Arabidopsis thaliana: one gene and its partners. The protein of the gene in region 4 interacts with the protein of the main gene of each other region in a pairwise test. Each region holds a gene or a part of one and is shown on either strand. Other genes may lie near its edges. The genes, in order: ARGOS, RK3, AT5G56100 and AT5G55330.

Region 1 (3,325 bases), on a different chromosome or scaffold from region 4:
ATCCTTAAGAGACCTTCCTGCACCGCTAAGAGTAGCAATAGCGTACATGCCGCTGTACAGAGAGTGCATGAAAGCGGACGGTCGGTTACTGTCTCAGAGGCTAAGAGGACAGCTTGTAGAAGCAGTGAGACAGCTTCAAGGCTGTGCTGTTGCAGTTGTGGAAGTAAGCCAGACTCGTAACCTTATGGCGGTTTTGGAGCATCACCTTACCGCCATTTTCGATTGAAACAAATGGATTCTGCTTTTGGGCTTCACTGGTTTTCTAATTTCTACGAATAGTTGAAAATAAGCAAATAAATACTACGATTTAAATTAACGGATATTGGGATTTGGGTTTGAGATGACGAAGTGAGGTTTTTTTTTTTTTTTTGTATAATTTCTTCTTATGATGCTTCTATATTATGTCAGTCTCTTCTCCTCCATTTCTCTTATTGTGCGTTGAAGTATTCTCACATATATATATTATGATAATTTAATGTAATATTTATAACTTACATTTATATTGTATATCAATTTCATTGGATTAAGAACCCTAAGATTAATTAAGATCATCATATAATAAATTTCAGATTTACATGAAATTGCAAGTTACATCTGTATTAGCATTAGAATGAGAAGAAGGCATGAAGGCAAGAACGACGAGTAAAACCATAATCCCAATGGGAACCAATAGCAGCATAAACGGAGGCGGAGGTAACGGCGGCAAAACTAACGGAAGTATTAACAGAGATGCCGTTAGACCAACCAATAGGAACAGAGACTCTAAACTGAAATAATTCGCCGGGATCATCATCCTTTTCTGCGCCGAGAAACTCCGCCGTAACTCTTGCTTGCTTTTCTCCGGCGAACTTCGAAAGCTCATGTTTTTCCGGTTGTTTCTTCCGACGTCCATGACTCGGTTGTTCGAATAACTGTCTTGAATGTTTATAATATCTTTTTGTAAGTTTGAGATTTCTCGAATCATCTACAGAGGTTGTTTTGCTGTGTCTGGTTTGGATTTAGAAGATCAGTGACAAAATTTTGCTCAAAGATCTGATCTTTAGGGCAACTGGTTAACCAATGCAGCTTGATCGAAGCAATTGGTGAAGAATTCGAGACAAAATAAGGATGGCCCACGATTCAGAAACAGAGGATGCAGAACAAATCCGAGTTAACTCAACGATTCAGATGTAAAGGAAGAAGCTTTGAGGTGAAGGAGTTTGAGAAGCTTTGTGTATTGGTTTTGGTTGGATCAAGAAACTGTGTGAAACAAGTACTAGTAGGGAAATGAGGAAGACAAGTAGCAATGAAAGAGGAGAATTTATTAATAAAGGAGTTGGAGGAGAATCAGAAGATATGGGGGGAGAAAGAGAGAGAAGAGGGTTCAGTGAATTTAGGGATTTTCTGATATGTTGAAAAGACGAAAAAGAGGAACGTTTATTATATAAAGGGGCTGACAAATGTGAGGAGAAGCAAGTTGCTGAATTTGAAAGATTTGAATTTCGTGTGGCCTAGTCTTCCTCCACAATCACAAGGTTCTTCTCCCCTGGTCTTCTTTTCTCTTACTTTTTCTACCATTTCTTTTACTTATATAACATATGACGTAAGCTACAATCTCCTCTGATCTGAATATGTAAGTAGTATTTAAATAAATGAGTTTTAAAACCATCTTTTTACCATTCTATAAATTTTTAAGAAAATAATTTTCTAGTTTATTTTGAATCATCCAGTTATTAATATACAGGTTGATTTTTAAAATTTTATAATCAAATATTTGATGCGATGAGGAAATTATTTTTATTAACGTACCTACCAATAATTTTGTCGATGTTTATGGATAAATAAGGACCCATAGTGTTGTTCTTCTCGAAGCACTTCATATGGTGAATGCGCTTGTTCTACCAGGAAATGTTGGGCCAATATATGTATATGCTCTCATATTTCTATATATAAAGCCAAGTTAAATAGCTAGGAATGTTTTTCAAATTAATTCACGATGCTATTTTTATATATTTACGTGTATATGGAGATCGGACATAGTAACGTGACAACACGCTTTGCATGTGAAGTCTTGATGAGAGGATGGTTTTTAATAAAGCCAAGATGTTTATATCGCCAGAGGATGAATTCTCACAGAATGATGAATTAAAGCAAATAGACTTCGCTAGTAACTCAGTCGGAAATCACTTGTTACTTTTAATATATAAATATAGTTAATCCCATAAATATAATTCATGGTTCAATGAATTGAGAAACATATAGGCCATTTCCTTTAGAAACAACGTCAAGTGGTTTTATTAGTTTTTTTCCTGGCCTTTAGATACAAAAAAGCCGATGAGTAGTTTGGGAGAATTGATAGATTACCAATACTACAACACTAGTTATCCACATTAATTGTGCAGCATTACTTTAATTAGGCCAAATTAACAATATACGAAGACTGCAGCTTCAGATATTAAACTATTTGACGTGTACCAACAAAGTTTTTTGCATGGATGACAAACCCTAAATTAATAATTTAGAATGTTTATATCGAAAGATCCGCTAGTTTCTACTCCTACTCTACAGATACGAAAATCGTATATTTAGGGATGAGAAAATGGATCTCCTTGAATCGTTGACCAAAAAAAGGAAAGAAAATTGTCAAATGGATCTTCTCAGCATAAGCTCAACTAAAAAAATCAATTTATTTGTGTTTAGTGTTTGTCTCTACAATCAAGAGAATACTTTTACTAAAATATGGGTTCATAAAAATGTTCACTGAATGTATACACTAGTAACCAAAACTTATTTGGTGCGGTTTAAGATTTATTTTTTATTTAAATAAAAGTACTTCCTTTTAAGTTCTTTGGAAACAAAAGAATTAATCAGTTTAAAATTCAGTTCACTTGTGTGTTTGTTCTTGGATAGATATACAGTATTACGATTAAACATCTCTATTTGTACGTTTTTAATTAGTAATGGAATTTGTTTATTGAAGACTAGATGAGTAAATAATGGTGGAAAGTTAAGATGTAGGTGTGTATATATGGCAACCCATGCATGATTATTGCCTTGAACACCGCACACATTTAGATTGGTGTCCAGTGGACCTGTATCAAAAAGTTCAAGAAAAAAAAGTATTATCATAATATTATTCCCTCTGTCTTACTAATAAGTCAGTCATGTTTAAATATTGCTTCTTCTTGTTTTATATACCCTACTTCTAATTTAATTGATTTTCGACAGTCAATATGCATAGACATATGTTTTGGTCTAATTCTTAGACACTTGATGCATTACAATAATCTCAATAACAAGGTCCATATGCTCAGTTTCATAACGTTCGCGAATTTTAAAGATTTTT
Region 2 (6,488 bases), on a different chromosome or scaffold from region 4:
CTTGGTATTTGTATACTCATGGGAGATCAGAGGAGCTTGTGGATCCTAAGATCAGGGTCACATGCAGTAAGCGAGAGGCCTTGAGATGCATACACGTAGCGATGCTATGTGTTCAAGATTCGGCTGCGGAGAGACCCAACATGGCTTCAGTTTTGCTTATGTTAGAGAGTGACACAGCGACGCTCGCTGCGCCTAGACAACCAACGTTTACTTCCACCAGAAGAAACTCCATTGATGTCAACTTTGCTCTTGATTCGAGCCAACAATACATCGTTTCTTCTAATGAGATCACTTCAACGGTTGTTCTTGGACGATAAGATTCTTTTGTTTGTTCTTTTGTAAAGTTTTTTTTTATATAATTGTTGTGAAAACGTATAATATTTTTTGGTTAATTAGGATAATGGAGTAATGGTTGTTGAAACTTGAAATTTTGTTCATAAAGTGAAACATTACAAATGGGGTTTTATTACAGTATGATGTTGATATTTTGAAAAAATCACCACACTATTCTTTTTCAAAAATATCACAATGGATCAATTTACAAGTATAAACAAATGAAAACAGATAAAATATCAAAAAGCATTTATCTGAAATAAATCTTCAAATAAATCGTTTATACTATAACAAAGGTGGTAGTCTTAAAATATTTAGGTTAGTTTTGAAATGAGGATCATAATAATTGTTTTTCATTCTATTAAATATAGGTGAGTTGTTTCAAATATTGTAGGATTATTGTGTTTAATTTAATTAAAATGTGATTGATTTTTATGTATAGAGTTATTATATATAAATCAAACGAGGAACGAAGAATTATGAGGATGTTCAAAAATAAGACTTTTGGAGCGTTGACTATGGTAATTAGTACTGTTTTGATGGTGAAAAGAGTATTCGGTCTTCGTATTTCATACTTATATAATATACCTAAAACCGTGTTAACATAAATTTTCCTCTCCTCCAAGCTCCAAAGCCAAAAATCGTCAAACAAAATGCATAGGACAACATTATATTTGGTGATGAATAATTCAAATGTAGACTCATTATTAAATTGAATGGAATGATGAATTATTTAGAGTTAGAGAAAAAAAGAAAAAGTCAGGAAAACGTGAAACGACCCCTTTCTTTTTTGTCTTCGGAGAATGCGGAAATAAATTAAAGTAGGGTTTGTTTGATGAATACTAACATTGAAGTTCTTATTGGGAAGGATAAAAAAAAAATTGAGTTATTTATTACGAAAAAGAACACTGAAATTTATATAACTCTCGAAGCATGCATACAAAAGGTTGACTGATAATAAAATACGAAAAAGCAATATATTAAGTAATTTATTAAAAAAAATGGTCATCAATAATATCATATTTTGAAGAAAAATTCTGAATTTATGAAGTAAAAATGACTATTGGAAAAGGAAAGAAAGCCTGACAAAAAAAAAGAAGAAGAAGACTTTTTATTTGCTAGGTCAACTATGAATTGGACTGTACACATAGTACATAACTAGATATTTTTTCCAAATGCGAACAAGAAGACCAAGAAAAGAAAAAAAGCAAGGTAATATATTATTGACAGAAATAAAATCGGTTACGTAAGGTTCACACATTACACAAAACATGTCCGATATCTCCAATGGAAATAAACTCTCATACTTTTCTCAAGAAAGAGTGAAAAACAAAAAACTTGGTTTAGAGAAATGAGAGGTTTACCAAATTTCTACCATTCTTACACCTTCTTCTTCTTCTTCCTCTTAATTCTGTTCCCTGCTTACTCTATCTCTGCCAACACTTTGTCGGCTTCAGAATCTCTAACTATCTCAAGCAATAACACCATTGTGTCTCCTGGTAATGTCTTCGAGCTTGGTTTCTTCAAACCCGGTTTAGATTCTCGTTGGTATCTTGGAATTTGGTACAAGGCAATCTCTAAGAGAACCTACGTATGGGTTGCAAACAGAGACACTCCTCTCTCTAGTTCCATCGGAACTCTCAAAATCTCCGACAGTAATCTTGTCGTTTTGGATCAGTCCGATACACCGGTTTGGTCGACGAATCTGACCGGAGGAGATGTGAGATCTCCATTGGTGGCAGAGCTTCTTGATAATGGTAATTTTGTGCTCAGAGACTCCAAGAACAGCGCTCCAGATGGAGTTTTGTGGCAGAGTTTTGATTTTCCGACAGATACTTTACTTCCGGAGATGAAACTTGGCTGGGATGCCAAAACCGGGTTCAACAGATTCATTAGATCATGGAAATCTCCAGATGATCCATCAAGTGGAGATTTCTCGTTCAAACTCGAAACCGAAGGCTTCCCTGAGATTTTTCTATGGAACAGAGAATCACGAATGTACCGGAGTGGTCCATGGAATGGAATCCGGTTTAGTGGTGTACCGGAGATGCAACCATTTGAATACATGGTTTTCAATTTCACTACGAGTAAAGAAGAAGTGACTTACTCATTTAGAATCACTAAAAGCGACGTTTACTCGAGATTAAGCATAAGCTCCTCAGGATTGTTACAAAGATTCACTTGGATTGAGACAGCACAGAATTGGAACCAATTCTGGTACGCACCAAAAGACCAATGTGATGAGTACAAAGAGTGTGGTGTTTACGGTTATTGCGACTCGAACACTTCACCTGTTTGTAATTGTATTAAAGGGTTTAAGCCGAGGAATCCTCAAGTGTGGGGATTGAGAGACGGGTCGGATGGTTGCGTGAGGAAGACGCTACTGAGCTGTGGTGGCGGAGATGGGTTTGTGCGGTTGAAGAAAATGAAATTGCCGGATACTACCACGGCTAGTGTGGACAGAGGAATTGGTGTGAAAGAATGTGAACAGAAGTGTTTAAGAGATTGTAATTGCACGGCGTTTGCGAATACGGATATCCGGGGTAGCGGGTCGGGTTGTGTGACTTGGACCGGAGAGCTTTTTGATATCAGGAATTATGCCAAAGGTGGTCAAGATCTTTACGTTAGATTGGCTGCTACTGATCTCGGTTAGTTCATTCTCCACTATCTCTATTAGACTAAATGACATATGTTTGGTTTTCATTTTCCACATATTTACTTTTGCTAAGTAACGGTTGATAATAGTCTTCAAGATCACTTTTCAAAACATGTAAACAGTTTTATACATACTAGAAACTAAAAAGACATCATAAAAGATTTTGTCAGTAAGACTAAAAATTGATGCTAAAACTGCCCAATCAAGTTATTGAGTAATCCTATCACATTATACTAAAGATTTTCTTAAACGACAAAAGGAAGAAACGTTTTTTAAGGGTTTCAAGAATAGTAATTAACTTGGTTGTTAGATAAAGCACTTTTTTTTTGGGGTAGAATGTGAGAATGGTGTTGAATAGTGCAAGTCAATGTTATATTGTTGTTGGTTAACGAATTTGGAATTTAACAAAACGTTTTTCAGTTTTATTTTCCCTCTTTTCAAACTTCTTAAACTTGATTGAGATGTTGACGCATTCGGTCTTGGCATTATATGTGAAAACTCTTGTGATAAAGAACTAAGGTCCAATGGACTTTTAATCTTCTTAAAAGATGCAACGCATGAGTGAAACTTTTGATTACTACTATATTCTTCACAAAAACTTATCAATCTCAAGAATAATATGGTAAGGTAGATCCAAAGCCAAAAGAAATTATTTTTAGGTAGACCAATCTTTATGTTTTGTTTTTATTGGCGATAACAGTATAACGCTGTTTTTTGTTTGTTGGCGTTTATCTTTAATCAAAAGTACGACAATGTTTATTATTTTGTTAAATCATAAGACTAATACTAGTTTGTTTTATAAAATGATATTCATTTCCATGGTCGAGGTCCTAAATGTTGTGCTCAATTTGACATCTCTTTTCATTATTTCAGAGGACAAAAGAAACAGAAGTGCAAAAATCATAGGTTCGAGTATTGGAGTGAGCGTTTTGCTTCTTTTAAGTTTCATTATCTTCTTCTTGTGGAAAAGGAAGCAGAAGCGATCAATACTAATCGAAACACCTATTGGTATATCTGTAAATTTTAATTCCTTTCTTTTTGTTTGTAAATTTCTTAAAACTAATATCTTTACTGTTTTTGGTGTCTGTATGTAACAGTTGATCATCAACTGAGAAGCCGAGATTTGCTAATGAACGAAGTTGTAATATCAAGTAGGAGACACATATCTAGAGAAAACAATACAGACGATCTCGAATTGCCATTGATGGAGTTTGAAGAAGTTGCCATGGCCACAAACAATTTTTCTAACGCCAACAAGCTAGGACAAGGTGGTTTTGGTATAGTTTATAAGGTAAAAATGATTGAAAACTTAATTCATAATCTATCGCTGGACAAATATTTCGTTGTGTAACAAAATTAAGGGTTACAGGGAAAGTTACTTGATGGTCAAGAAATGGCAGTGAAGAGACTATCAAAGACATCAGTTCAGGGGACTGATGAGTTCAAGAATGAGGTAAAGTTGATTGCAAGGCTTCAGCACATAAACCTTGTTAGGCTTCTTGCATGTTGCGTCGATGCGGGTGAGAAGATGTTGATTTACGAGTACTTGGAAAATCTAAGCCTCGACTCTCATCTATTTGGTTAGTGTCTCAACTCCTTACAACTCTGTTCTAACAATTTTTCAATGTCTTTAAAAATAATGTACTCAATCCAGTGATGATTCATTAGCAGACAAATCCCGAAACTCTAAGCTAAATTGGCAAATGAGATTTGATATCATCAATGGTATTGCTCGAGGACTTCTATATCTTCACCAAGATTCACGGTTTAGAATTATCCATAGAGACTTGAAAGCAAGTAACATCTTGCTTGATAAATATATGACTCCAAAGATCTCGGATTTCGGAATGGCTAGGATCTTTGGACGGGATGAGACAGAAGCTAATACGAGGAAGGTGGTTGGAACCTAGTAAGCAATCATTCTCCAAAATATTAAAAATCTTTGTTTGAAATCTGAATTAAAAAAAAATAACTCAAAACTTTGAGTCTAATCTTCGTTATTCAGCGGTTATATGTCTCCTGAATATGCAATGGACGGGATATTCTCGATGAAGTCAGATGTTTTCAGTTTTGGGGTCTTGCTTCTTGAGATTATAAGTAGCAAGAGGAACAAAGGATTCTACAATTCGGACCGTGACCTTAACCTTCTCGGTTGTGTAAGTTAAAAACCTCTCAAACTTGATCTTGTTTTACACTCAAAATAATGATAACACTAGAAAAATTTCGATCATTATACACAGGTGTGGAGGAATTGGAAAGAAGGAAAAGGGCTAGAGATCATAGATCCAATCATCACAGATTCTTCATCAACATTCAGGCAACATGAAATCTTAAGATGCATACAAATTGGCCTCTTGTGTGTTCAAGAACGTGCAGAGGACAGACCAACTATGTCCTTGGTAATTTTGATGCTCGGAAGCGAATCAACAACTATTCCTCAACCTAAAGCGCCCGGTTATTGCCTGGAGAGAAGTCTTCTTGACACTGATTCTTCGTCGAGTAAACAGCGCGACGATGAATCATGGACAGTGAACCAAATTACTGTCTCGGTCCTTGATGCTCGGTAATGTGACTGTCAACTAGCCAATCTTCTATACTAAGATGACTAAATTGAGCGACAATAAGAATCAACTAGGAAAGATGGTATTAGTTATGTGCATAGTATTTTCTCTGTACGTCTCCGTTGCAAAGGTTACTACATGATTCAATTGTCTTAATTAAGCATGTATTCTGTAATTGCTTTATGGATAACCCAAATAGTCCTGCAGTTATAGGACATCAATGTGATATTTTGAAAGATTCTCAGACTTTCATATTATAAATTATGGCTACTAGAAGAGGCAAATATTGTTGGTTAGTAGAATTTCGGGTTGTACGTTTTGAGATTAGGTTTGTACATGTTGTAATAGATTTTTTTTTTAATAAGTACATACGTTATAAGAATTTTTTATGATCAGCAACACCTATTTCCATCGCTAACCATGGCCAAAATCCGGTGGATTTAATTTATGGGCTTTAGGAAGATCATGGGGGTATAGTGGATTTTTTGTTTTTAACTGATGACAGAGTAAATCCTTCATGGTTCCTTCATTTTAAGGTGATTTCAAATTTTCCTTCATTTCAAGGTGATTTCAATGTTTGTAGAGGCTTGATTAAAATTGTTTTAGATCATAAGGATTTTTGTGCATCAAAAGTGTTCGCAATTTCAATGTTTGGAGAGGCTTGATTAAAATTGTTTTAGATCATAAGGATTTTTATGCATCAAAAGTGTTCTGTCAAAATTCCTTAATTAACCTTTGATGAGTAGCTCGTCCTTTAATAATGATAGTTGATATACAGAATTGTGATTTATGAGCACATTAATATTGACATGAATGCTTGCTAATTTAAATTTTAAATGAGAGTTTAGAAATTTAGAATATTTAGCATAGATAATTAATTTCTTGAGAGATGATTTTTTTTGGTCGGGTTCTTGAGAGATGATTAGTGTTATATATTC
Region 3 (3,188 bases), 280 kb from region 4:
TAGTGGTAAATCCACATTATTACAAACTTGAATATCGATCAAAATGTAAATATATAGTAATATTTATGGAATAGATATAGTAGTATACTTTTGAATTTGAAAATTAGATGAGAGACACTTATAAAATTCTTAGACTTCTAATTCAAAATCAATTGATAATTAATACATTATACTTTACAGACATATATGTATTTATCTTGTTAACATTGGAAAATTAGTTTCAGTTTCTCTGTAATAGTTATCTAAGGCTTTTTATTTTTTTTTGGCCATAGAAGCTCCTTGCCCCCAGCTTTGTAAATAACCTCTTTCCTTTTGGTAATATAATTCACATTTTATCAAAAAAAAAAAAAAAAAATTGGAAAACTATGTTTTCGATAATATGGATAATAATCCGGATAATGTGGATTTGGATAATTCAAACAATTCAGATAGACATGGTGATTGTACTTCGGATAATCCATCCCCCACAACTTGTGATTAATTTTATCTTTGAAAATTATTATATCAATTAAACTTAACAATCTGTTTTGACCTAAAGAAACTTACAATTTATTTATTCTATTATTTTTGGTTTTCATCTGTTTGCTATTTGTCTTGACTTGGGAAAAAACACAACTTGAAAAAAATGATATAGCATTACTAGATTTTCTTTGGATAGATATTACAAATTTTCACTCTCGAAAAAATCTACTTAATTTTGTTTTCTTATCATAGCCATGTCTCTGTTTTTTTTTGTTTCTTTATTCACCATCTTCTTGAAATTCCCATGAATCATGAGACTTTTTCCAAGTTTGAACTAAGAAGAAGAGTAATCCCGAGAAGAAGGAGAAGAAGTTGAATAACTATCCTCTGATTTGTCTCGCAAGTAACGACTCCGACCGTAACCTAATTCTCTCACCACCGACTCAACCATCCTCCCAGCCAGTCCGGTTTCAATACCAATCTCTCGGCCACAACATACCAAAGCGGCTATTCCCATCATCCACATGGCTGCAGCTACCCCAACACCAACCATAGCCGACACAAGAACCGCTACCGTTACCATAAAAGCTGGAGCAAATATCAGCAGCAATGGAGAAGCGATCAGAAACAGAGTCACCGTCGCCACAAAGCTGAAACTCATCAGACCAAAAAGCGGTCCTACCACTGCAACAGCTGCTACGGTTGCAGCCACAACCGAAGAACCGGTCGTTCTTTCTCCATCGGTTATGGCTATGTCTCTTCTTCTCCTTCCTCCAGGATTCTCCATAGTAGTAGTGTGAAGTTGAACAAAGAATTTTGTACCATGGCTATATAGAAAGGAAGATGGTAGGCTACTGACACGTGGATACCGATAAGCTACAGTATTACGACACGTGGATAGTCTTGTATATCCAAAACGCCAAAAAACTGTCTCGAAACATTATCCACAACCACAAGGCTTACGGATTTGAACCGGACTGAATTAACCGAATCGTATCTAAACTAAAACCGAACTAAAATTTACCACTGAACCAAATTGGTATAAGAAATTATTGACTCTAAAACTAGAATTATCCAATGATTTTCTATTGGCAATGAAACAAACAACACGAAGCTATCAATGAAAGTTATCAGAGTTCTGGGATTCATATGAAACTTTTGTTAATTGTTTTTGTACTTTATTTTTCGAACCATACAACATCATTGACACAAGATTCGATGAAAGCTTGCTAGTAGCATAGTGAGCCAAAGAATTGTTTTTTTAGTAAATAATGAAAAAGGAAAGATTTTGGTGAAGAGGGCTTAGCTGAAATTTGATTTAGCAACTTGTGGAAGAGATTTGAGAAGAGAAGGTGATGGCCTCCGAAGAGTGTGATTGAGAAGTAGCATCAAAGTGAGAAGTGTTAAAGCTCCTGCTTGGTGTGCACTTCCTAGTGAAACCGGAACATAACTCAGAAGCGTTGATACACCTAATGTCACCTGCAAAATACAAAAAGGGAAACCTTATCAATGGTTTTGATTTTAGGTTTCCATTAAAGTTTATGATGATTGATTTTACCTGAACAGCAGTCATTCCAACAGTACTTCCGATCAAAGCTTTAACAGCTGGATGTATGTCTAGCTTCCTTGTGAACCACCACATTGTTCCGATTGCGATTAATGTTGTGGTTGCCAGAAGGCGATGATCAAGCTGAAATTTAAGTAATTTTTCAGTCTTTTTGAGATTCTTGAAGCAAATTGAGAAAGCTTTGTGTCAATGGTGTACCTGAACAGTTGCTGTGTTCTCGAAAAAGTTGCGTAAAAGTGGTTTCATCTCAAATATATTATCTGGGATCCATGTGTCACCCATTTTGGGAAATGTGTTGAATGCACGACCCTAAAATTCACAAACAGAGAGATCAATATACTAAGCTTCCTTTCTGTAACTAATATAATAGAAGCTTAGATCCAACTTTGTTAGTTTACTTACAGCATCATTTCCAGCAACAAATGCTCCTGAAATTGCAGTGATACCAACAATCAAGCTTACTGGTAATGCAAGCTTCTTCACTTTAGCTGCTCCGCGAACCCAAGCCAGTGACTCAGCTGGTGGTTCAGGCATAACAACAGAGAGAGCGGTCCAGAAAAGTCCACAATAAATGGCAAAAGCTGAGGTCAGGTGAGCTGCAAGACGGTATGGGCTTACCCTCGGTTGAGAATACTCAGACGGTGGCTCCTACAAGACCAAACTGATTACTGGTTGGTTACACAATATTCAGCACATAACAACATCTAATAAGAGGATCTACCACACTTCCTAATGCTTACCTCTAAACCACTTTTAACCATCCACCAACCAATGAAACCTTGTCCAGCACCAAGCGCAAATAAACCAGAGAGCTGAACTCCAAGACGTAGAGTAATATACCCTTTACGCAGAAAATAAGAAAACGGCAAAGCAAACATGATTCCCAATCCTCTTCCCCACATTCGATGAGCATACTCCATCCAATATATGAACTTAAAATCTTCAAGGTTCATCCCTTTGTTCACACTACAAAACACCAAATCCCAAAACACAAACAGCATTTTCAAGATCAAGACTTCGTCCAAATACAGAAAACGCAAATGCAAGCAACAGCTTTAGCTACCAAAATCGAAACACTAACCGCTTATATTCAGGTGACTGCTTATATTTCTCAAACTCCTTAGCCCAAGCTTCATCTGACAGAGGAGGGAATTCACCA
Region 4 (3,888 bases):
CTAATTAATATTCAAAGTAAAGAAGAAAAATAAAAAGAAAGTGAGAAATTGTCAAAGAGTTTATGGTTCATGTTTAGTTGAGACTATCGGTGTAAGGTGGTAGTTCTCCGTATGGGAGAATTCACATGGTTCAACTTCAAGTCAAGTTTAACACTAGACCAGTATACCTAACTGTCCAAAAATATTAATCACCGATTTATTTCATCAAATTATTATAAAGTTATATTTTTAGTATAGACAAATATATGAGGAATTTTCATGAAATACCCCTTTTGAATCTTAGATGTACCAATTTTCGAAAAATACTATTATTCAAAAAGACTACTACTCTACCGGAATATTTTTAGTAAATTTGCCATATTTTTCAGGTTTCTTTATTTTTAGGATAGATGAAAAATGAAGTTTTGTCTTCAACACCTATTAATTTATTTGTAAGATAGTTTAGCGAAAACAAAACAACTTTGATAAATAAACATGTAAATTTTATTAAGGGGAAATTGGAAATAAAAGATAAATATTTAAAAAAATTTCCATCTATACATTTTATGATCAAGATTGGTGACATATGCGTTTAATATAATTTAAATCCCACTATATCTCCAGCTTTTTTATGCTTACAAAATACAAAACAAAAAGTCCAAACCAATTTATTTTTACTTGGAGCAAATCAATATTCTTTTACTTGGAGTCGTCGTTCATCACTTCTTCGATATTGTCTTCCTCTATTCTTCACAAAAATTAAGCTGTTCACTCCTCTCAAATAACTCCAAAACAAAACTCTTTTTTTTTCAATTTATCTTTCTTTATTTCCCTCGCTTCAATTTCTCTTAGAATCTTACCATCTCTTTCTTTAAATATTTATCCTTTGTTTCCAATTTTCCCATTTATTAAAGACTCGTAAACAACCCTAAGAGGATATATAACTTACGATTAAAGAAATCAATTAGAAACAAGTCTTCATTGATGAACCTCTCCATCAAGCCGTGCCTAATAGGCTGGGGGGAAAATAGCCAAACACCAGTCACAAACACAAACCCCACCGTAAGCAGTCTCGACACTGCCGGATTCACCGGCCACCGCTGCACCAACTTCGTCTTCCTCTTCAGTGCCACTTCAGCCGCCATGCAAAACCCATGTAACACAAAGAACCAAGTCACCTCCCATGTAGGCTTCTCACGTGTCAAATAGAAGTAGAGAATCTCGTGAGCCACACCAGAGACGAGGAACGTGGCGAAAATCGCGAAGAACCGATCCCACTCGGAGCTCTTGGCTCGCCATTGCCGTATGGGGTTGTACACTGCGAGCCAGAGAATCTTCGAGACCATGAGGTTCCATCGGTGACCCCAGAAGTCATGTAGAGAGGTGGCTAAGTATGGTTCGTTGAATTGTGGCTCGAGGTCACACCCAAGAGTGATACTGACGAGAAATTTTATCAAGGTTAAGGAAATCTCAAGCTCCAAGTATATATGCAGAGCATAGAGACCCAATAGAAAATTCGTAGATAGAAATTGTTTGTAATGATACGCTTGTAGTAACAAGGCACCAAAGATGAAAACTTTCAGGGCAAAAACCCATTTGGGGAAATGGTTAGTATTTTCAGGGTTAGGTTTTTTTTGAAGCTTGATGGGGAAGCAAGCAAAGCAGACGAAATGAGGGAGATTAGGAGGAAGTGGAAAAAGAGGACCTTTTTCTAATGCAAAGAGGATGAGTTTTGGAACTGCAAGACCTGAGAGGAAAAATGCAATAGTGAAAGAGGAATGAACAGTGGAGAAAAAGATAGGAATAATAAGAAACAAAACACAAACAGGAAGAACAGATAGTAATCGAAGAAGACTGGTTTTGATTTTGGGTGTTAAGTAGTAACAATAAGTTACTGAAATGATTGCAGAAACCCATACTTGGATGAATAACTTGAGTTCTTCCTCCATGGTTACTGGTTAAGTGATAATAAACCAAGAAACATAGGAAAAATGTTTACAGTTGTAGTATATAAGCGTGGGAGCAATTAATAAAGACAGTATGTTTGTTACACATTTAAGGGAAAAAACTATTGGCAGTTGTTGAGTAGTTAATGGCTCTGGAAAATCTATCAAATTAAGTACTTTCCTCTTTTATGATATAGTAATATAGTACTAGTAGTGTATGTAAAAATAAAAAAAAATAAGTATGACTACCGTTTATAGTTTTTCTTTTCAACGTCTTAAATATTGAATTTTTTTATGAAAAAGTTAGCAGAGCAGAGCATAATTAACACTCGTAAAAAACAGTGAAATAAAACTAAGGTTGTCGTTTCTCCTTAATGCGATTATGAAGCCATGCGGGACCTCCCGTTCTAAGTACGAGTTGAAACGCACCCATCTCTCGTAACACAACTACACAAGCAATATCAATATATCATAAAAATTCGTTTTCGCCTGGAACTAAAGAATTTGAATGATTCAAAACCTGCAATAAGTTGACGAATTCTACCGATGAGGGAGCAATGAAGCTTCTATTTCTTAAATAATTTGACAGCAGAGTAAACATTTTGACCTATGCTTGACGTTATATGGGAAATCCATATAGTTTTTTTCTTCCTCTCGCTAACGCTCTTTGGCGATCTTTCCTCCCAACTATGTTGTATTTAGATAATCTCTCTACAAAGGGTTCACGTGAACATGACACAAACAGTAGTCGAGGGAACAAAAATTGATCGATCGATAGGAAGTGTTGGTTTGGTTCCAAGTAACACTATTATTTCATTCTTTAGTTCCAAGTAAAAACAAATCGTCATGTACAACGAACTTGGAACTGAAGCAAGTCAGTTTTTTTAGGGTTTGATAAGAAAGAAAGAAACGGCATGAAGAGACCAAGAGACATGCTGGCAGCATCTTAAAGAGTTTCTACTAATTCCAACTTGCCGACATCTTCAACAAGACAAGTTCGATTCATTTCAAGATAAGTAGTTGACCATTATGGACTTTGATGCTCAACCGGACTCAATAACGTTAACTCGTGCTCATTTAACACTCGTTATAAAATATCCCCAACAACGTAAATAAAATAACTTATCGCTTAATGAACTCAACGAGCAACACAGCTTCAGATGTGAATCTCTCCATCACCCCGCTCCTTTTAAGCTGAGGTGTAAACAACCAACCACCAGTCACAAACACAAACCCCACCGTGAGAACCCGCGACACCCCCGGACTCAACCGCCACCGCTGTGCTACCGTCGTTTTCTTCTTCACCGCCAATTCTACAGCAGTACAAACGCCATGTAACACAAAGAACAGAGTAACTTCTCCTGTAGGCATCTCACGTATCAAATAGAAGAAGAGCAATTCGTGAACCAAACCGGAGACGATAAACGCTGCCAAAATCCCCGGAAACAGAGCCCAACCGGAACTCATTTTGCGTTCAGAGACTCGCCGCATTGGTGCGTAAACGGCTGGCCGGAGAATCGCCGGAACCATGAGATTCCACCGGCGACCCCAGAAGTCTTGTAGAGATGTGGCTAAGTACGGTTTATTGGACTGTGGCTCAAGATCGCAGCCAAGAGAGATAAAAACAACAACTTTAACAAACGTTAATATAATCTCAATCTCTAAGTAGAGATGCACAAAATAGAGACCTAATAGTATAGTCGGAGACAGATTTTGTCTGTAGCTATACAAATGTAATAGCACTGCAAAGATTGCAAGTTTAATGGCGAAAACCAATTTGGGCAAATGGTTTTGAGATTTAGGGTTTTGCTGAACCTTGATGGGGAAGCAAGTGAAGCAGAAGAATCGAGGGAAATTTGTTGGAATTGGGATTAAAGGACCTTTATCGAAGGAGAAGAGGATGAGTTTGAAATTAGCAAGCCATGTGAGGAAAAACGCTGTGATTAAAGATAAATGCAGAGAG

What was found.
Region 1: the proteins of AT5G55330 (region 4) and ARGOS interact in a protein complementation assay, tested with the Arabidopsis thaliana proteins (one large-scale study listed by BioGRID).
Region 2: the proteins of AT5G55330 (region 4) and RK3 interact in a protein complementation assay, tested with the Arabidopsis thaliana proteins (one large-scale study listed by BioGRID).
Region 3: the proteins of AT5G55330 (region 4) and AT5G56100 interact in a protein complementation assay, tested with the Arabidopsis thaliana proteins (one large-scale study listed by BioGRID).

Annotation. Positions count from the first base shown.
Region 1 is NC_003074.8:22,127,680-22,131,004, reverse strand, and holds ARGOS (auxin-regulated gene involved in organ size), read right to left. Parts: upstream 1,501-3,325; 5' UTR 965-1,500; coding exon 572-964; 3' UTR 533-571; downstream 1-532. Other genes in the region: AT3G59910 (Ankyrin repeat family protein), read left to right, coding at 1-226. UniProt on the Arabidopsis thaliana protein: Promotes cell proliferation-dependent organ growth. Takes part in the AXR1-dependent auxin signaling pathway that requires ANT during organogenesis.
Region 2 is NC_003075.7:11,388,287-11,394,774, reverse strand, and holds RK3 (receptor kinase 3), read left to right. Parts: upstream 1-1,548; 5' UTR 1,549-1,684; coding exon 1,685-2,981; intron 2,982-3,862; coding exon 3,863-3,997; intron 3,998-4,086; coding exon 4,087-4,280; intron 4,281-4,358; coding exon 4,359-4,569; coding exon of another isoform or gene 4,570-4,574; exon of another isoform or gene 4,575-4,660; coding exon 4,661-4,898; intron 4,899-4,994; coding exon 4,995-5,145; intron 5,146-5,229; coding exon 5,230-5,556; 3' UTR 5,557-5,948; downstream 5,949-6,488. Other genes in the region: B120 (S-locus lectin protein kinase family protein), read left to right, coding at 1-317. UniProt on the Arabidopsis thaliana protein: Involved in the regulation of cellular expansion and differentiation.
Region 3 is NC_003076.8:22,715,182-22,718,369, reverse strand, and holds AT5G56100 (glycine-rich protein / oleosin), read right to left. Parts: upstream 1,454-3,188; 5' UTR 1,250-1,453; coding exon 797-1,249; 3' UTR 521-796; downstream 1-520. Other genes in the region: COX15 (cytochrome c oxidase 15), read right to left, coding at 1,765-1,941, 2,021-2,152, 2,228-2,338, 2,432-2,677, 2,770-2,995, 3,111-3,188.
Region 4 is NC_003076.8:22,436,938-22,440,825, forward strand, and holds AT5G55330 (MBOAT (membrane bound O-acyl transferase) family protein), read right to left. Parts: upstream 1,948-3,888; 5' UTR 1,929-1,947; coding exon 888-1,928; 3' UTR 534-887; downstream 1-533. Other genes in the region: AT5G55340 (MBOAT (membrane bound O-acyl transferase) family protein), read right to left, coding at 3,048-3,888. UniProt on the Arabidopsis thaliana protein: Catalyzes the final step in the synthesis of long-chain linear esters (waxes).